Linked DNA regions of Stegostoma tigrinum. The protein of the gene in region 1 purifies or fractionates together with the protein of each later gene. This does not show direct contact. Links are inferred from orthologs where the notes say so. Each region holds a gene or a part of one and is shown on either strand. Other genes may lie near its edges.

What was found. Proteins that work in one complex are often made in the same cells at the same time.
Region 2: the proteins of POC1 centriolar protein homolog A-like (region 1) and nudc purify together in Homo sapiens (co-immunoprecipitation; 3 studies listed by BioGRID and IntAct, with this or other methods). This does not show direct contact. The link is inferred for Stegostoma tigrinum from reciprocal best matches to the Homo sapiens genes POC1A and NUDC.

Annotation. Positions count from the first base shown.
Region 1 is NC_081364.1:22,084,235-22,094,913, reverse strand, and holds the start of POC1 centriolar protein homolog A-like, read right to left. Parts: upstream 4,637-10,679; 5' UTR 4,570-4,636; coding exon 4,555-4,569; intron 1-4,554.
Region 2 is NC_081377.1:32,943,985-32,954,878, reverse strand, and holds the start of nudc (nuclear migration protein nudC), read right to left. Parts: upstream 4,680-10,894; 5' UTR 4,552-4,679; coding exon 4,471-4,551; intron 1,197-4,470; coding exon 1,119-1,196; intron 952-1,118; coding exon 742-951; intron 1-741. UniProt on the Homo sapiens protein: Plays a role in neurogenesis and neuronal migration. Necessary for correct formation of mitotic spindles and chromosome separation during mitosis. Necessary for cytokinesis and cell proliferation.

The sequences.
Region 1 (10,679 bases):
GCGCACCCCCCACCCCCCCCCCCCCTACCCTCCCCCCACCCCCCCCCACCCCCCTCCCCCCCCCCCCCCACTCCCCACCCCCCACCCCCCCCCCACCCCCACCCCCTCCCCCCCCCCCACCCTCCCCCACCCCCACCTCCCCCCACCCCTCCCCCCCCCCCCCCACCACCCCTCGACCCCCCCCACCCCCTCCCCCACCCTCCCCCTCCCCACGACCCCCGCCCCCCCATCCCCCCCACCCCCGCCCCCCTCCCCCCCACGCCCCCCTCCCCCTCCCCCGCCCCCTCCCCCACCCCCCTCCCCCCCGCCCCCCTCCGCCCCACGCCCCCCAGCCCCCTCCCCGCTCCCGCCCCTCCCCCCCTACCCCCACGCCCCCTCCCCCTCCCCCCCCCCCCCCCTCCACGCCCCCCTCCCCCCCCACTCCCCCTCCCCCTCCCCCACCCCCCCCTCTCCCTCGCCCCCGCCCCCGCCCCCTCCCCCCTCCCCCTCGCCCCACCCCCCCCTCTCACGCCCCCCGCCCCCCCCCTCCCCCCTCCGCTCGCCCCCCCCCCCCACTCACGCCCCCCCTCCCCCCCACTCCCCCCGCCCCCCTCGCCCCCCCGCCCACTCCCTCCCCCCTCCTCCCCCACCTCCCCCCTCCCCCCGCCCACCCCCCCTCACTCGCCCCCTCCCCCCACTCGCCCCCTCCCCCTCCCCCCCCCTCCCCCCCCCAGCCCCCCCTCGCCCCCCCTCCCCCCCCCACCCCCCCTCCACCCCGCCCCCTCGCCCCCCGCCCCACCCTCCCCCACCCCCCACCTCCCCCCTCGCCCCTCGCCCCCTCACGCCCCCCGACCCCGCCCCACTCCCCCCTCCCCCGCCCCCCCCCACTCGCCCCCCCCCCCGCCCCCCTCGCCCCGCCCCCCCTCCCCCCACTCACGCCCCCCACCCCCCACGCCCCCCTCCCCCCACTCACTCCCCCCTCCCCCCCAACTCCCCCCTCCCCCGCCCCACCCCCCCACTCACTCCCCCCTCCCCCCCAACGCCCCCCCTCCCCCTCCACCACCCCCCCACCCTCTCGCCCCCCTCCCCCCCAACTCCCCCCTCCCCCTCGCCCCCCCCCCCCACTCACTCCCCCCTCCCCCCCAACTCCCCCCACCCCCTCCACCACCGCCCCCCACTCCCTCCCCCCCTCCCCCCCACTCCCCCCTCCCCCTCCACCACGCCCCCCCACTCACTCCCCCCTCCCCGCCCACCTCCCCCCCTCCCCCTCCACCACCCCCCCACTCTCTCCCCCCGCCCCCCCAACTCCCCCCCACGCCCCTCCCCACCCTCGCCACTCACGCCCCCCTCCCCCCCAACTCGCCCCCGCCCCCTCCACCACCCCCCCACTCACTCCCCCGCCCCCCCAACTCCCCCCTCCCCCTCCACCACCTCCCCCCTCTCTCCCCCCTCGCCCCCCAACTCCCCCTCCCCCGCCACCACCTCCCCCACTCACTCCCCCCTCCCCCCCAACGCCCCCCTCGCCCCCTCCCCCACCCCCCGCACCACTCACGCCCCCCTCCCCCCCAACGCCCCCCGCCCCCTCCCCCACCCCCCCACGCACTCCCCCCTCCCCCCCACTCCCCCCTCCCCCCCACTCCCCCGCCCCCCAACTCCCCCCCTCCCCCTCGCCCCCCTCCCCCCTCCCCTCGCCCCCACGCCCCCCACTCTCCCCTCCCCCTCGCCCCCCTCCCCCGCCACCCTCGCCACCCCCACGCCCCTCCCCTCCCCCCCCTCCCCCACCCCCCACGCACGACCCCGCCCCCTCCCCAACCCCCCCTCTCACTCCCCCCGCCCCCACTCACTCCCCGCCCCATCCCCCACTCAGCTCGCCCCCCTCCCCCCCAACTCGCCCCCTCCCCCACGCTCTCCCCCCTCCCCCCCACTCGCCCCCGCCCCCACTCTCGCCCCCCGCCCCCCCTCTCGCCCCCTCGCCCCCCACCTCGCCCCCGCCCCCTCGCACGCCCCCTCCCCACTCGCTCGCCCCCTCCCCCACTCACTCGCCCACTCCCCCCCACTCGCCCCCGCCCCCCCTCACTCCCCCCGCCCCCCCTACTCCCCCCTCCCCCTCGCACTCCCCCCTCCCCCCAACTCGCCCCCTCCCCCTCCCCCCTCACTCCCCACTCCCCCTCTCCGCCTCCCCCCGCCCCCCCTACGCCTCCCGCCCCCCTCCCCCCAACGCCCCCCTCCCCCCTCCCCCAACTCCCCCCGCCCAACTCCCCCCGCCCCCTCACCCACTCACTCCCCCTACGCCTCCGCCCCCCTCCCCCCCAACGCCGCCCTCCCCCTCCCCCAACGCCGCCCGCCCCCCCCTACTCCTCCCGCCCCCCACTCGCCCCTCCCCCTGCCCCCCAACTCCCCCTGCCCCCCACTCGCCCCTCCCCGCCCCCCACTCGCCCCCGCCCCCTCCCCCAACTCCGCCCTCCCCCCAACTCCGCCCGCCCCCGCCCCCAACTCCGCCCTCCCCCCAACGCCGCCCTCCCCCGCCCCCCAACGCCGCCCGACCCCCTACGCCTCCCTCCCCCCACTCGCCCCGCCCCCTCCCCCCAACTCCCCCTGCCCCCCTACGCCCCCCTCCCCCGCCCCCCAACGCCTCCGCCCCCCAACTCCGCCGCCCCCCCAACGCATCCCTCCCCCGCCCCCCCCAACTCTCCGCCCGCCCACTCGCCCCCGCCCCCTCCCCCCACTCCCCCCGCCCCCGCCCCCCACTCCCCCGCCCCCCGACGCCCCCATGGCCCCCCGCCCCCGCCCCCGCCCCCCCGACGCCCCCCCGCCCCCCCCGACTCCCCCCTCCCCCTCCCCCCAACTCCCCCTCCCGCCCCCCCTCCCCCCGCACTCCCCCCGCCCCCTCCCCCACCCCCCCACTCTCGCCCCCCGCGCCCCCAACTCGCCCCCTCCCCCACCCCCCCACTCACTCCCCCCGCCCCCTCCCCCAACCCCCCACTCACTCCCCCCTCCCCACTCACTCCCCCCCGCTCCCCCACCCCCCCACTCACTCCCCCCTCCCCTCCCCCAACCCCCCCCACTCGCCCCCCGCCCCCACTCGCTCCCCCCTCCCCCCTCACTCCCCCCTCCCCCCCTCACTCGCCCCCTCCCCCCCAACGCCCCCCGCCCCCCAACGCCCCCCGCCCCCACTCACTCCCCCCGCCCCCCACTCCCCCCGCCCCCACGCACGCCCCCGCTCCCCCACTCACGCCCCCCTCGCCCCCCAACTCCCCCCTCCCCCTCCCCCAATGCACTCCCCACTCCCCCATCTCCTCCTCCCCCCGCCCCCCAACTCCCCCCTCCCCCCTCCCCCACTCACTCCCCACTCCCCCAACGCCTCCTCCCCCCGCCCCCCGCCCCCCAACGCCCCCCTCCCCCCGCCCCCACTCGACTCCCCACTCGCCCCAACTCCTCCGCCCCCCGCCCCCCGCCCCCCAACTCGGCCCGCCCCCCGCCCCCCAACTCCCCCCCGCCCCCCGCCCCCAACTCCCCCATCCCCCCGCCCCCACTCACTCCCCACTCCCCCTACGCCTCCCGCCCCCCTCCCCCCAACGCCCCCCTCCCCCACGCACTCCCCACGCCCCCACTCGCCGCCGCCCCCCGCCCCCCAACTCCGCCCCCCCTCCCCCCTCCCCCCAACTCCTCCCTCCCCCCCCCCGCCCCCAACTCCGCCCTCCCCCCACGCGCCCCTCCCCCTCCCGCCCACTCCCCCCGCCCCCCAACTCCTCCCTCCCCCCACTCCCCCCTCCCCTCCCCCCCCGACTCCCCCCATTCCCCCCTCCCCCCGACTCCCCCCTCCCCCTCCCCCCCCGACTCCCCCCTCCCCCATCCCCCCTCCCCCCCGACTCCCCCATCCCCCCTCCCCCCCCGACTCCCCCATCCCCCCTCCCCCCCGACTCCCCCCATTCCCCATCCCCCCTCCCCCCCGACTCCCCCCATTCCCCATCCCCCCTCCCCCCCGACTCCCCCCATTCCCCATCCCCCCTCCCCCCTACGCCCCAGTCCCCCTCCCCCTACTCCCCATCCTAACCCCTACTCCCCATCCTCCCCCCCCTACTCCCCATCCTCCCCCCTACTCCCCATCTCCCCCCTACTCCCCATCCTCCCCCCCTACTCCCCATCCTCCCCCCTACTCCCATCCTCCCCCCCTACTCCCCATCTCCCCCCTACTCCCCATCCTCCCCCCTACTCCCCATCTCCCCCCTACTCCCCATCCTCCCCCCCTACTCCCCATCCTCCCCCCCTACTCCCCATCCCCCCCTTCTCTCCCCTACTCCCCATCCCCCCCTTCTCTCCCCTACTCCCCATCCCCCCCTTCTCTCCCCTACTCGCTCTCACCCCCTCCCCCCCCCCCGCCCCACTCCGTCGCCTACTCCCTTCCCGCTTTGTCTCCCCTCCTTCGTTCTCCCCCCCGCCCCCCCAACCCATCCACTTCCAAACACGCGGGTTTGCCGTAGGCCTCGGCCGCTTGGCAGGTCCTGGCTTCCCCGGAACCCCAACGGGGAATGAACCTGAATAATGTGGGGTTGGGGGGTCGAGCAGGATACCTACCAGTCCGGTGCTCATCTTGTCTCCTGGGCTAGAGTCAGGGCCACTACCGACCAGGTCCAACGCTCCCGCCGTCTCCCTGGTTACCCCGCCGCCGCCGCCAGGCCACACCCCTCCCTGCCTTAAAGGTACAGGTCACATTCCAGTCTGCCGATTTATACATCAGTTACTGACAAACATCTCAAACCAGAAATTGAAACAAAGGTTGCTCTTGTGGTACTGCTCGAACAGTGGTACCTGCTCCAAAACATTTCTGGACAGTTCGATGAGAAAATGTTCAGAAGACCATGGGCCAAGTGCTGAACAATGGGATTAGAATAAATGGATGTTTGATAACCAGTATGGGCATAATGCGCAGAAGAGTTTCTTTCTGTGCTGTAAATTCTCTACCTATCTATCTAAAATTTGCCTCTGAAGGGGCCTATAGCAGCATAGTGTTTCCTACGTTCGGGCCAGGTAGTTCAGCTTAAAATTCCAGCTGTCACACAAAGCAGACCATAACATTTCTGAGCAGCTTGATACTTTGAAGTTATGTTTTCCTCCAAGTTACCTCTCATAACGAGGAAAAGTTTCTTGTTAGCACATTGAATGAATCAGAGGATGAAGTGGATCTAGGGAACAGTGTAATTCCAAGCCAGCGTAAAGTAGTGCTTTTGGAGAGAGAGGTCGAGAGTGTGCATATGGCGACGCATGAAATTGAGTGTGGATCCGAGGATGCAGCGAGAATAGCTGTGTGGAACATTGAACATCACAGAAATATCTGTGGTCCCGGATGGCTTCAAAACACAAAGGATGAAACTTGAGTTGGAATCCACATGGGATAAGTAGAGCTGGAGGCAGTCACCTCCAGTGGGATGTCGGCACCAAACACCCTCCCCTCCCTTGTCAGCCTTCTGCAATGACCATTCCTTTTGGAACACTTTGTCCACTCTTCCTTCACTCCCACCAAGCCCCCAGAGTCTCACGGCACCTTACCCTGCAACCGTTTACTTTCTCCCGCCTCAGTATCCAAGGGCGCAAACGCACCTTCCAGGTGAAACAGCGCTTTACGTGCACTTCACTCAATTTGATCTACAGCATTCGTTGCTCACAGTGTGGTCTCCTCTACACTTGGGAAATGAAGCACAGACTGGGCGACCACATCGCAGAACATCTACGTTCGGCCTGCAAAAATAAAACCTGATCTTCTGGTCACCCGACTCTTCAACACATCACCTTGTTCCATGACCAACATCTCTGACTCAGGCTTGCTGCAGTGCTCCTGAAAAACTCAGTACATGTTGGAAGAACAGAGCCTCATATTCCCCTTGGGAACTCTATTGCTTTTGAGACTCAGCACTGACTTCAACAATGTTAGGACTGGAGGCAACTTCTCCCCTGTCCTTATCCTAACCTCCACACAGCAGGCCTTGTTAACACATGGTCTGCTACACACACTGCCAATGGTTAGCCACTAATAGCCCACCATGCATTCTCCCAGGCTGACTGTTATCCACTCCTTTGTCTGTCCAAATGTTCTTGTCTGTCTTTGGGCTATATCTCCACTTATTGTTTACTCCTTACTCTGTCCCCCCACCATGTCTTCTGCAAGAAAATGGAGCATCAATGAGGCGAAGAATGTCATGGATAGCACGTTTAGTGAGCTGGTCACACCATCACTGAGACTATGTCGACAGAAAAGAGTTGAGTGACCACGAGGAAGACAAGTAAGCACAGGCAGCAGTGTTGTAGTCACCGGTGGCCTTTCCCCTCTCACATCCATGTACCGTGTTGGATACTGTTGGGGAGTGGATGGGTGTGGCCTTTCAGGGGAAAGCAACAGCAGCAGCCAGATCTGTGACACCACAATTGGCCTCTGTTTTACAGCATGGAGGGTCGAAGTATAGGCATGCTGGGGACTCTGTAGTCAGGGGCACAGATAGGTGTTTATATGGCTGTCAGCAAGAGTCCAGGATGGTGTGTTCCCTCCCCAGTGCCATGGTCAATGATGTCCCTGAGCGGGCACAGGATATTCTGAAGGGGGACAGTAAGCAGCTCGAAATAGTAGTACATACTGGTACTGATGACATAGGCAAAATGAAATTAGGTCCTGCGTAGGGAATTTAGGACGTTAAGTAGAACGTTGAAAAGCAGATCCTCTAGGGTTACACTTACAGAATTGTTCCCTCTGCCATATTAGTGAGGCCAGAAATAGGAATATAATACAATTGAAAGGCATGGAAAAAGAGAGATGGTTTCAGATATCCGGATCATTGGGATCTCTTCCAGGGGAGGTACAAGAAGGATGTGTTGCTGTTAAAGTGGAGGGCACCAATATTCTTTCATGGAGATTTGTTAGCGCCATTTGGAGGGTATAAACTAGTGTGGCAGAGAGGTGGGAAAACCAGAGCAGTCGGTCAACATGTGGAGTGTTTGAGGAGGAGAGGAGCTAAATCAAGTAAATCAAGGAGGAACGATAGACAGGATCAATTTTGGGGGAAGACTGATGACAATGTATTCAGCAGGAACTGGAAAAATTGGATTGAGGGCAGCTGTTTGCAGGTAAATCCACATCTGAAATAGGATTCTTTTAAAAGCCAGTTGACTAGAGTTCAGGACCAGCTTGTTCATGTGAGGATGAAAGCTAAGAATGGCAAGATTCAGGAACCTTGGATAACAAGATATGTTGTAAGTTTAGTTAAAAAGGAAGAGGAAGCATGTGTAAGATTTGGAAAACTGAGAGCAAACAAGGACCTTGTGGAGAATAAAGAAAGCAGAAAGGAACTTAACAGAAGAAATTAACAGGGCTAGAAGGGGCCATGAAATGCCCTTGGTAAGTAGGGTTAAGGAGATTCCCAACAGTATTTTATATGTATATTAGGAGCCAGAAGTACCTAGGCAAAGGGTAGGTTCATTCAAGAACAAAAGAGGGCATTAAGATGTAGAGCGAAAGGAATTGGGTGAGGTCCTTAATAAGTATTTCACAATGGTACTCGTCAAAGATAAAGGCATGGATGATGGTAAGTTTAGAGAGGGGTTTGTTGATGCATTGTTTGTTGATATTAAGAAGGAGAAGTTGTCATGAAAAACATTAAGGTAGAAAAGACTTCAGTGCCTGATGAAATTTATTCCAGGATACTGAGGGAAGCAAGGGTGAAGGTTTCTGGCACCTTGACAGAGATGTTTGTATGGTCTTTAGCCATTGACAAGGTCCCAGAAAACTGGGGAATAGCCAAAGTTGTTCCTTTGTTTAAGAAGACAGCAGGACTAATCCAGGAAATTATAGGCTAGTGACTGTTACATCAATGGTATAGAAATTAATGGAGAAAATTCTTAGAGACAGCATTTAATTACATTTGGAGAGCAATAGACTTATTAGGGATAATCAGCATGGCTTTATGTGGGGGAGGTCTTGTCTCACAAACTTGAATGTGTTTTTTGATTAAATGATTGTCGAGGGTAAGCCAGTGGATGTTGTTGACGTGGACTTTATTTGACAAGATCTCATGGTGGTCTGGTCCAGAAGATTAAATCGCATGGACTCCATGGTGAGTTGGTACATTGGATGCAAAATTGGCTTGGCCGCAGAAGACAAAGGGCAGTCGAAGAGAGGTGTTTTCTGACTGCAGATCTGACTGACCAGCGGTGTTCCACAAGGAACAGTGCTTCAATTTGCATTGTTTGTAATATATATAAATGATTTGGGTGAAAATGCAGGTGGTCTAATTAATAAGCTTGCAGATGAAATGGAAATTGGAGGCATTGTGGATAATAAAGAGTGATAACAAACAATAGAGAGGGATATACATCAATTAGAAAGACGTAGACAAAAAGAAACTCCATGTTTACCTTCAAATAGTGATTAGAGGAAATCTCTCCGAAGTTATTTGGAGTGTCTCAGAAATAGCTACGTTTTGAAACCAGGGATTTCCATGTTTAAATTTGAGAGAAATTAACACACATTAAGTACAGAAAAGTTATTATCTTCTACCAATAGTATCAAATTATACTTTAGAAACAGTTCATTCCTGTTCAGATATACTGTATTTAATTACTGCATACTGAAATCTATGTGGTGAAATGGATGCTCAGATTTATTTACCCATTCATTATAAATTTATAGAGCACTACCCATGTTATCCAAATCCAAAATAATTAATTCCACTTGTACAAGTTATTATCTACTTAGACGCATGCACAAGCAAAAAGAGATCAATATATAGATGCATTCCCCATCCTCAGACAGAAGGTCATTATAGAACAAAGGATAACTTCTCGTTATTCACAGTCTCAAGAGGGAGACACACACAGAAAAATCAATTTTCTACTAATATTGTTGTGCCTCAAACCAGTCACCCAAAGGCTTAGGAGCATTAGGCCATTTGGTCCATTGAGTCTGCAGAGACATTCAATGTGATCACAGTTGATCTGATAATTCTCAACTCCACTGCCCTCCTTTTCCTTGTATCCCATGATTCCCTTACTGATTAAAAATCTGTCTGCCTCAGCCTTGAATATACTGAAATACACAGCCAACAACCCACTGCAGGACTGAAATCCAGAGATTCATGACTCCCTGAGGGAGAAAAAATAATCGTCCTCACCTTTGTTCCACTTGGACAATCCCTTACTCTACTTATGCCCTCTGGTCCGAGACCTCCCACAATGGAAACAATGATGTTGTTGTAGCACTGAGATAATAGGAACTGCAGATGGTGGAAAATCCAAGATAACAAGATGTAGAGCTGGATGAACACAGCAGGCCAAGCAGCATCTTAGGAGCAGGAAAGCTGGTTTTCTGTCAGTTTACCTCTGACTTCGAAGCGGTTTGAATTGCTGTTAGGTCCTGTTCTGGACACTGGACTTATTAATCAGGATGCAACGAGAAGGCACCAGATAGATGTTCATGGGCAAAAGAATCTCTGTTTATTTATATAAACAACAAGGCAACACCAATACAAAAAAAGTGACATAACACACTATTATAATAAAATGTGAGGCTGGATGAACACAGCAGGCCAAGCAGCATCTCAGGAGCACAAAAGCTGATGTTTCGGGCATTGACCCTGCTCACCGCTCCAAATGTGGTTTCAAGATTCACCGAAAGCAGTTGCTCTAGCTTGTCATATCCCAGATGTGGTAGGGGACTCATTGCTGCGCAACCGCTCAGTCTGGGTTGAGTCTGCTGATACAGGTAGACACATATTGGATCTATCGTGTCAGTACTTGGGTTTTCTTTAGTTATGCTGGTCTGTTGAGTTTAGGTTTCACCTCAGTTGTGCTTGAGGACTTGTAATGTCAGTTGGGTTACTTGGTACTCAAAATCTGTCGGATTTACTTCTTGGCGTGGTCGGTTGTGATGTTTATTGAAGTTTGTTGTCGCTTTGCAAATACAGTCCCTCGGTGTTTCTGTCTTCTGTTTCTATGAGAGATCGGGGCCTTTAGTTATACTAATTGCAGGGCCTCCGTAATCTCTGCACCAATCTCCAGGCCCATTTGTCTTTCCAGTATTTTCTTTGCGAGTTCAATTGGCTTAACTGGATTCTCTATGCTTGGAAGAGATGTTAATGGTTTTGAATGATGTCAAATACTGGATGATTATTACAGTAGTCCTTGTGGCTCCACACTGTCTCCATGAGTATCTTCAGTGGGCCAAGCTCATCCTCACTCTAAGCAACCTCTCATTTAACTCTGAGATAATGGGAACTGCAGATGCTGGAGAATCCGAGATAACAAAGTGAGGAGCTGGATGAACACAGGAGGCCAAGCAGCATCTTAGGAGCACAAAAGCAGACGTTTCAGGCCTAGAACCTCTTTTAACTATTCTCATTTCCTTCAGGTCAGAGGGTTGGTCATGGGTACCTGCATGGGCCCTAGTTATACCTGTGTCTTTGTGGGGTATGTGGAACTTTCCCTGTTCTAGTCCTATTCCAGCCCCCACCCACTACTGTTTCACTGATATATCAATGATATCATTGGTGCTGCTTCCCTCTCTCATCCAAATTTGGAAAAGTTCATCAATTCTTGCTCGCAGTTTTCACCCCGCTCTCACTCTCACCTGGTTGATCTCTGTCTTCTCCCTTCGCTTCTTCGACATCTCTGTTTCCATTTCTGAGAATAGACTGGCTGCTAATATCCACTATAAACTC
Region 2 (10,894 bases), on another chromosome or scaffold:
TGGCGGCATCTGTGGCGAGAATGAAGGAGTAACATTTCAGGTCAATGTCCTTTCATCAGAACAAGACATTAAACTTGAAATGTTGACATCTGTGAAGTGAGGAATAGAGTTATCAGACCAAAGTATTTTCTGTTTTATATCTAATTTTAAAGTTATTTTCTTGGTCTGGACTGTCCAGAGGAAGTAATTTCTCTCTATCTGAACTTAAAATGCAATATGAAAAATGGGATGTACTAAGGGTTTTATGTAAACTTAAGATAACATAACTGCTCTGATGAAGGGTCTAGGCCCGAAACGTCAGCTTTTGTGCTCCCGAGATGCTGCTTGGCCTGCTGTGTTCATCCAGCCTCACACTTTATTATCTTGGATCCTCCAGCATCTGCAGTTCCCATTATCTCTGAGAACATAACCCTTTTCAGTTATTTATATTTGAAACCATTAAACCTTCTACTCCTCTGGAGTTCATAGCTTCTCACCATTTAAGAAAAAAAGATCTTATCTACTTTCCTGCACCTTTTTGCTCTTGTCTGCATTATTAACAGTGCCAACTAACTTGGTATCATCGGTCAATTTAGGTTTAGTTTTCTATCACTTCAAAAGTTATTCGTTTACATTGAAGCTTCAAGATCCCTGTGCATTATTCACATCTTAACACAACTGCATGCCATTAGCCCTACTCCTGTCTCCTAATTCCATACACCAATTCTAATGGTGCAATTGGTCATTAGATGATGTACTCACCTGGTCAATCTCCTTCTGCAATTTCTCTGCCTCCTCATTAGTCAGCTCCTTGATCTTTGGCTGCTTCAGTTCTGGTTCAGATTTCTCCTTCTCTTGTATAAGCTTTGCCCGTTCCAATTTTTCTTTTCTCTCTGCTTCCTTTTTCACCTCCTTCTCCATCTGAACCTGTATTGCTAATTTATGGTGGCGTTTGAAAGTGTCTGTGACCAACTGTGGAAAACACATGATCAAAATTATCAGTTAAGTGGGATTACACCATTAATACACTAAAGAGGTCGGGAAAATTACCAGTGGGAAATTGAATTGAGAAATGAAAATGAGGAGCAATCCCCCACCCTCAGAGAAATGGAGATATAATGAAACTCCCAAGTACTCACTTTGTTAGCTGCTCCCTGCTCTCCACCAGTAAAGAAGTCGGTTTTGCGCCTCAGAAAACTGAAGAATGTATCCACAAGCTGGGGGGGAGAAACAAAAAGCTTACGCTCTTAATTAGACCCACTACACTTGAAAAGGTTACCTGATGTACATTCGAGTCTGAATCCCACCATAGAATTGGAATCCAATGAAATCTGAACTCAAAGTCTCATGGGGACCATAAACCACTGTCAATTTTTTTGTAAAAATGTACCTGGTTCATTAATATGTTTTAGTGAAGCAAACTGCCAATCTTAAGAGCAAAAGAACTGCAAGTGCTGTAAATCAGTAACAAACAGAAATTGTTGGGAAAGCTCAGCAGATCTGGCAGCATCTGTGAAGAATCAGAGTTAACATTTCAGGTCTGATGATTCTTCCTCCATGACGCTGCAAGACCTGCTGAGCTTTTCCAGAATTTCTGAAACTGCCAACATTATCTGTTCTGGTTTACGAGCAACCCTAGACCCACAGCAATGTGTGTGATTCTTAACTGGTCTCACCTTTATCAGCCTCCAGAAAGGAAAAAGACGGAATGAAGCTGGACACCTGGCATCAACTAAGGCACTACAAACATCATCAAACAGACTTATCAACACTACAAATGCCCCTTAGAAACATTAACACCCAAATATGAAAAATCACCCAGGTATGTCCTGTACACAAAACAAATTTCAACCTGGCCAGTTACCGTGCTGTTAATCTTCAGTGAAGTGACAGAAAAGGTAATCAGTAGTGTTATCAAACAGCACTTGCAATGCAATAATCTGTTCACCTTGAATACCATGGACAACTCTTCAGAATCTGAAGTAGTCCATATCCAAAGGCAGCAAGACCTGAATAATATCCAGGTTTGGGCTGACAACTAGCAAGCAGCCAGGTCACACAAGTTATCATCTACAATAAAACAGAATCTAACCAAGAGCCCTGGCATTCAATGGCATAACCAATGAAACCCCCATTATCAACATCTTGTGGGTTACCATTGACCAGAAAGTTAACTGGATTAGCCATATAAATACCGTGGCTACAAAATGAGGTAATAGGTTAGGAATCAGACAAAGAGTAACTCACATCCTTACTTCCCAAAACCTGGCCACTATCTACAAGGCACAAGTCAGGTGTGTGGTGGAATTGTCTTCATTTGTTCAGATGAATACACTTCCAACAAGACATGAAACACCAAAAAGGACAAAGCAGCCAGCTTAACTGGCACCACATCCACAAATATTCACTCCCTCTACCAGTGAGACACAGGAGTAGCAGTGTGTACCATCAATGAGAAGCAACACAGAAATGCACCAACCCTGTTCAGACACAGTCTTCCAAACTTTTACCTTTGACAAGGGCAGGGACAGCAGATACATATGAACACCACTACCTGCAAGCTTCCCTCCAATCTACTCACATCGTTACCTGGAAAAATATTGCTGTCCCTTCGGTGTTGAGTTAAACTCTTGGAATTCCCTTCCTAATGGCATTGGACCATTAATAGACCTACACCAAATGGATTGCAGCAGTTCAAGTGGGCAGCTCACCACCACCTTCAAAGGCAACTAGAAATGGGTAATAAATGCTGGCCCAGCCAGCATCACCCACGTCAGCTTGGAAATAAATCAATTTTAAGTTGTTTGATGTTTGAGTGCAGCTTGAGGCACAGATCGCAGTGTCCTGCTCGGTGAAGTACATGGTACAGGCAGTAGATGACATACAGCAAACTCTATCATTTCCCTCAAATGACCACAGTGAACTGGACATTTCACCATTAAAGATAACAAGGTGTAGGGCTGGATGAACACAGCTGGCCAAGCAGCATCACAGGAGCAGGAAAGCTGACATTTCGGGCCTAGACCACCATTAAACTTCTCTTTCACTCTCTAGCAGGCGTACTGTCATCACCAGTGGTTACACCAGTAAATAAAGGGAATACTCCTACTGATGGAGGCAGAGACAATACATAACAGATTGGATACAACATTCAGGCAGGCTCAATGGCAAAAACTGACCAAAACCAACCACCAGAGAATTGAGAGAGATAATGGGAACTGTAGATGCTGGAGAATCCAAGATAACAAAGTGTAGACCTGGATGAACACAGCAGGCCAAGCAGCATCTCAGGAGCACAAAAGTTGGTGTTTCAGGCCTAAACCCTTCATCAGAAAAGGGAGAGGAGGAGAAGGTTCTGAAATAAATAGGGAACGAGAGGGAAGCGGATCGAAGATTACAAGAGAGTTGCAGTGGGAAAGAGATCCCCTGAGGTTTGTCCAGAGGGAGGAGGATAACTTCTTCACGTTAGGCATCCCTAGAAGAGACTTCGCAGTGGGGTTAAAATTGTATTAGAGATAATGGGAACTGCAGATGCTGGAGAATCCGAAATAACAAAATCAGGCATGTTAGAAGGACATGAGTTCAAATATCACTTCAAAGACTTAAGTCATAATCCAGATTGATGCTTCCAGTCTCTCTGTTAGCGGGTAACACCTCTTGGGTGGGTGGGTGGGGGGGGTAAAGATTGGATGGATATTTTGATTTAAAACAAGGAAACATCCTATGCGATTCTGGTCAATATTTATCCCTCAACTACAGGGACATTGAGTCGGCAATCATTTATTATTGTTTGTTGAAGTTAATACATGAAGTTTACCAAAACCATTTCCTATATTAAATATTAAGTACGCTGCAAAGTCGTTGAGATGCCAAAGGTCTTAAGTCTGTCTTTATTTTTACCACTGGGCAGATGTTCCCAGACACTGGGAACTGGGGGAGATCTACCCCCTGGCAGAACGAAGGTGGAAGAAATTACAGGATCCGCCACAAGAAAAATTAACGCGTTTTAAAAGATTCACCCCCTTGCCCCGTCCCAAAGCAGAATATAAGGGTAGCCGTGGTGCAGAAAGAGGGTTATACTCCAGATGGTTGGGGGTGGGGGATATGTCGAGAATCCGCTTTCTCTCCTTCATTCCCGCTTGCCCCCACCCCCCCGGAAAGTCAGTAGGGTGGACGATCCAACCCCAAGCAGAATATAAGGGGCTGCAGAAAGAAGAATGAAATGGGTTGGCGGGGATGTTAAGGATTCACTCCTCTCCTTTCTAGTGACGGCTGTTGGGGGTGGGGGATGAAAGCAAATCTATTCCCTACATCTGGTTAAATATAGGGAGTGCGGAAAGAGGAATATATACTCCCAGGTGAAAAGGTGGGTGAAGAAGTAGCGAATCCAACCACATCAAGCGGAACGGAGTAGAGGCGGCAAGTGGGATATACCCACGGTGGGGGTGGGGAATCGGCCCACACCGGGGTAGGGCAGTATCTCCTTCATACCTGGTGAACGCCTCCTTCATGTTGCTGGGCCATTGCCAGCAGAATGCCATCGAAACGATCCTCGCCGGATGAGTCCCCCATCCTTTCTCGGAATCAGCGCTGCTCCCCTCAGGCTGACGGATCAACCACGCGTTACAGGCCCCGAATCACTCACCCGGAAGTCGTGCCGCCGAGGTCAAGTGTTGATGGACATGTTTTTCAGCCAATCATCAGACGCGTCGAATCACGACGTGTGACGTCAAACCAATAGATTGAAGGTTTGTGTGGCATGGGGGGGCGCGGTCACTATGGAACATTCAAGAATAGGGCCCTAGCAACCCGTGCCTCAACAAAAGCCTCAGTGGCGCGGACCTTTGTGGTGCAGGAGAAATCTCGTTACCTCTGAGTTAGGCAACGTCTGCTCTGGAGGTGTGTAACAACATCTCGGAACTGGTTAGATAAAAGCACCGTACTCGATTGTGTGGCTCGAAACTGGCTAGGGGTTAGTTAAAATGCCTCTTCACAGAAGTGTAACAGCGCAGGAGTTCGTGGTGTCTGATTCGATTTTATTCCCTAGGGCAGGCCTTCTGCCTGTGACACTGCGCGTTACTTGTCTCTAAGTAATTATCCAATGCCTCAACCACATTTCTTGGCAGTACATCCCATGTCTTAACTACTGACTAAGTTTTTTTCCCACCCCTTGCATCTTTTGCACATCACTTTAAATTTATGACCTCTTATTATTGCTTTCTTTTGTAAGAAGGAACAACTTCTCTCTATCTACTACATTCAACCCGTTCATGATTTTGAAAGCCTCTATCAGATGTCCTCTCCGTCTTCTTCGAAGAGAACAGTCTTAACCTAAATCTATCCTCTCAACACAAGCTTATCATTCCTGGAACCATTCCTGTCAATTGCTTCTGCACTATCTCTAATACATTCGCATCTTTCCTATAATATTGTATCCACAATTGTACACAATATTCCAGCTGAGGCCTAACAAGTCTGTTGTCTAATTGCAACATCATCTCCCTGCTCCTGTAACTTTATGTATTTATTAATAATGACAAGATCACAGTATGCTTTCTTAACATATAGACTCAGGCCACTCGGCTCCTTCGTCCCCTTCAGAACTGTACCGCCTATTTTACGTTGTTTTTAATGGGGAGTAGCCAGGAAAAGGATATAGAAGCTTGTGAAAGGCATAACTCAGGAACCAGAGCAGGTCAAAGGGTGGGAGTTCTAAAGTAATTAATACTGCAGTAAGTCAGTAACTCTCACTTGTGTGAGGAGAGTTTGAGAATCTTTGACTGAAGAATGACTTTTAAGATTATGGAAAGGTGGAATACAGCACATGCAGCTGAGGCCAGAATTAGGGGATATAAATGTAATCACTAATAACACTTGGGAATTCTGAATAAATTCTCTGGATAAATTCATTTGTCCAAATAATGGGAGCAGTTATGATTTCTTTTTCATGGATAGGGTGTAGACATCATTAGAAAGGCCTCCAACACACCCTATCCTCTTGGACACCACCTCAAGGCCTCCTACCCTCCCTCAACCTCTTTGTCTCCAACTGCCATCGTGACATCAATCGCCTCAACTTCTCCCCCACAGAACGTGCAGCCCTCTGCTCCAACCCTAACCTCACTACAAAACCCGCGGACAAGGGAGGCACAGTTGCCGCGTGGCACACTGACCTCTACATCGCCGAGACCAGGCACCAACCCTCTGACACCTCCTCCTACCGCCCCCTTGATCATGACCCTACCCCTGACCACCAAAACGTCATCACCTCAAGTGACCTCCCACCCACAGCCTCCAACCTCATTGTTCCCCAACCCCACACTGTCCATATCTATCTCCTACCCAAAATCAATAAGCACAACTGCCCAGGTCAACCCATTGTATCTGCCTGTTCCTGCCCCACTGAACTTATCTCCACTTATCTCGATTCCTTTTTCTCACCCATGGTCCAGGAACTCCCCACCTACATCCTGACACCGCCTGTGCCCTCTACCTCCTCCAAAACTTCCGATTCCCTGTCCTCAACACCATCTTTATCGTGGACATCCATTCCTATATGCTTGCATTCCCATGCAGATGGCCTAAAAGCCCTCTGCTTCTTCCTCTCCCGCAGGCCCGACCAGTCCCCCTCCACTGACATCCTTATCTGCCTAATTGAACTCTCCTTACACTTCACAAGTTCACCTTCAACTCCTTCCACTTCCTACAGACGAAAGGCCATGGGTACCCTCAGGAGCCCAAGCTATGCCTGCCTCTTTGTAGGATACATGAAACAGTTCCTCTTCTGTGGCTACACTGGCAGCATCCCCAACCTCTTCATCCATTACATCGATGACTGTATCAGCGCTGCCTCGTACTACCATGAGGAACTCGAACAGTTCATCCACTTTACTACTACCTTCCACCCCAAGTTTAGGTTCACCTGGACCATCTCTGATACTTCTCTCTCCTTCCTGGACCTCTCTGTTTCCATCTCTGGTAACCACCTGGAAACTGATATCTAGTTCAAGCCCACCGACTCCCACAGCTACCTAGAGTACACCTCCCCTCACCCACCTTCCTGCAAGAATGCTATCCCCTGTTCCCAATTCCTTCACCTCTGCTGCATCTGCTCCCAAGATGAGGTGTTCTGCTCCTGGTCATCCCAGATGTCCTCATTTTTCAAGGGCTGCAATTTCCCCTCCATAGTGGTCGAAAATGCCCTCGACCACATCTCTTGCATTTCCTGCACCTCAGCCCTCACACCCCCTCCCCACAATAACAACAAAGACAGAATTCCCCATATCCTCACTTATCACCCCATCATCCTCCAGATTCAAAGCATCATTCTCCATTACTTCCGCCACCTGCAATCTGGCCTCACTACCAAGGATATATTTCCCTCCCCACCCTTATCTTCCTTCTGGAAGGACTGCTCTCTCTGCGAATCCGTCATCCGCTTCACACTCTCCACTATTCCCACCACCCCTAGCACATTCAACTGCAGCTGTAGGAGATGCTGTACCTGCCCCATCACCTCCCGCCTCACCTCCATCCCAGGCCCCAAGAAAACCTTCCATATTTAACAAATGTTCTCCTGCACGTCCATTAATTTGGTATATTGTTTCCAATGTGGCCTCCTCTATAGCAGGGGAACCAAGCGGAGGCTTGGAGACTGCTTTGTGCAGCACCTACACTCGGTTCGTGACGAATGACAACACCTCTCAGTTGCGAATCACTTCAACTCCCTCTCCCGCTCCTTGAACAACTTGTCCATCCTGGGCCTCCTCCAGTGCCATTATGATGCTACTGGAGGAACACCACCTCATATTCCACCTGTGAATCCTGCAGCCCAAACATCTCAATGTGCACTTTGCAAGCTTCAAAATCTCCCCACTCCCGACCAACCCCTAAGACCAGCCCCTCCCTCATCCCCACCTCCTTGACCTGTCTGTCTTCCCTCCCACTTATCCGCTCCTCACTGACCAACCACCATCCCAATTCCCTACCTATGCCGTCCTGTACTGGCTTCATCCCCGCTTCCTTGACCTGTCTGTCTTCTCTCCACCTATCTGCTCCACTATTCACCTTCTATCATCGCCTTCCCCCCTCTCTATTTATTTCAGAGCCCCCTTCCCCTCCCCCATTTCTGAAGAAGGGTCCAGACCTGAAATGTTCGCTTCCCTGCTCCTCTAATGCTGCCTGGCCTGCCGTGTTCATCCAGCTCTACACCTTGTTAAATTAGCAAAGCATCATTTGTTGTTCATGCCTCACCTTTGGGGTGGTATTATTGGACTATTAATCCATAAATTTAGCTAATGTTCAAGGGAGATGGTGGAATTTGAATTCAGTAATGAATATAGAATAAGGGTCCACTAATACCAAAAAAAATTGCTGATTGTTGGAAAACCCATCTGATTCACTAATATTCTTTAGGGAAGAAAATCTGTTATCCTTACTTGATCTGCCCTACATGTGACTCCACACCCACAGCAATTTGGTTAAATTTTAACTGGGCAATTAGGGATAGGCAATAAATGCTGGCCTAGCCACAGATGCTCACATTCCATGAGTGAATAAATTTTTAAAAATCCTTGAGAGTAGTTAAGAGTCAATCATAATGATGTGGATCTGGAACTGTAGGTCAGACTGGGTGAAGGCAGTAGGCTTCCTTTCTAAATGGCATCAGTGAACGACATAGGTTTTAACCTCAAATCAAATTATCCAGTCTTTATCAAACTGCTGTTTGGATGCTTTGTTTCCTACAATGCAATGGTGAAATACTTTGGTATATCCTGAGGTTGTGCATTGTACAATTACTAATAAATGGCTTTTTTTTCATGTGTTCCAGAGTTTTGCAGACAATGAAATACCTAGTGGTCACCTATTGTCTTACATAGATTGCTTCACCTGCACTGTTGCATTTTAAAAGCGATGTTCTCATTGGGATAAGATAAATTTCTCCATACATTTGAGGTCACTTAATGCTTTCTGAAAAAATATTTATGCATAGGCATTTTCTAATAGAGACTGAAAACATAAGAACAGAAGGAGGTCTCTCAATTCCTCAAATCTGTTTTGTCATCCTGTTAATTCATAGTTGATCTGTTTCTCGACTCATTTTTCTTACCTTTGCTTCTTATGCCTTGATACACTAGCCTAACTAAAAAAACTATGAACCTATTTGAAAATATCAGAACTGAAAATCCAGTTTGCCTTCTCTCTGGTGCAACAACTGTGAAGTCAATCATAGCAGTTCTGTTGCTGGATTGAAGATTAGCAAACAACATAGAGTCAACTTGAATCAGAACATTGCACACTGTGAACTTTCTCTGGCTGTGCATTTACTCGTGTCTACTTATGAGCTTGATTGAAACATAGCAGTTTGGAACACTTGGTGAGGGTGTGGTTGCTTTATTAATAATACAGTAATCTGACATCAGATAGAATTGTTTACATGTTCATTTGCTTCAAGGCTACATTCAGCAAATATTCCTTATCTAATTACCCTGATATCACTTTCTGTAACTGTGTTTACCTGATTGGTGTTCTGTTATTGGCCTCTTGCAGTCCTTGGTGCACTGGTACAATGTGGGTTTCAAGTCTGTGTACACAACATCAGGTAATCGAAATAAGCCACTTCCATCTGTCTGACCTGCTGTTTCATTGAAAAAAATCTTATCTGCTGCTGGCCGGCACCAAAGAGATACATCCCTGGGCCAATTAGTTACTGTGAGCTTTTTTTTCAATGAAAGCTGCTTGTTCTTTCTGGCCAAGGTCACTTATAGTCTCTAAATGAAACAATATAAATAGTCTCAGGTATAAGCAGCTCATTCGCTGCCTGTGGAAGCTTGTGCTACATTGGGAGCTGTAGCCGAGCCTACCTGATCTTTTCTCAGCCAACTCTTGTTCAGCAGAGCTCTAAAACTAGTTGTTTGAAGCATTAGAGAATTTGAGGATTTTGGTTTCCAGTTAAAATTAACACTTCAAACTACATTTAATTTGTTAACACCATTACAGAGAGCTAAATTCCGAGTGATCCTGGTTTGGCAGTGAGGCAGTTATGGCTTGTGTCAGTGTTCTATCTGATAAATGCCAGTGTGATTCTGGGAAGAGACAGAATGCAATCTTGTACACCATCCTGAGCCAACGTGGAGACTGCAAGTTCTCACATCACAACTGCTTCTATGAAGTCAGGTTTGCTTGAAGACTCCCCGTGTTACCTGTCAGGCAGTATCCGATGTATTGGCAAAGACAGTCGCTTTTATGAGGAACCTCCCGTCATTCCATCATCTTCCCAGATCAGACCAGCTGCTGCTGCTGGAGAGCTGCCGGCTGTCCTTGTTTCTGTTAGGATTGGCTCAAGATAGAGTGAGCTTTGAGGTGATAGAGACCCCAGGTCACAGCATGCTGAGGAGAATCTTGCTGAATGGACCAAATCTGCTCAGGACAGAAGAAGAAGGGAGTCGGCAGCCAATGCTTGCTGGTGTACACAGAATAAAAATGTGTCTGAACAAATTCCGGGGCCTGGATCTTAGTCCTAAGGAGTATGCGTACTTGAAAGGAGCTATCCTTTTCAACCCTGGTAATTATAACAGCCTTTGTCTTTATTCCAGTATGTGTAATGAACCACAGAAATTGTAATGCTGAAGTGCTTTATAAAAAAAAGTCTCAAATTTGCCCCCACCCCCTTGAATCCAGCAATAATTCTACCACATCGTAGTAAGGGGTTAGGACCAGACAAGGGTCAGGAATCAGGGGATCTCTGTACTTCCTGGATAAATAACTAATGTGATTATTTCCTCACTTCAGAATCATCCATAGGTAAACCCCTCCACACCCACAACATACTCTTCTGCTAAGCTTTTAAGATTTCCAGTACTCATTGAGTCATAGAGGTTTACTGCATAGAAACAGGCCCTTTGACCCAACTTGC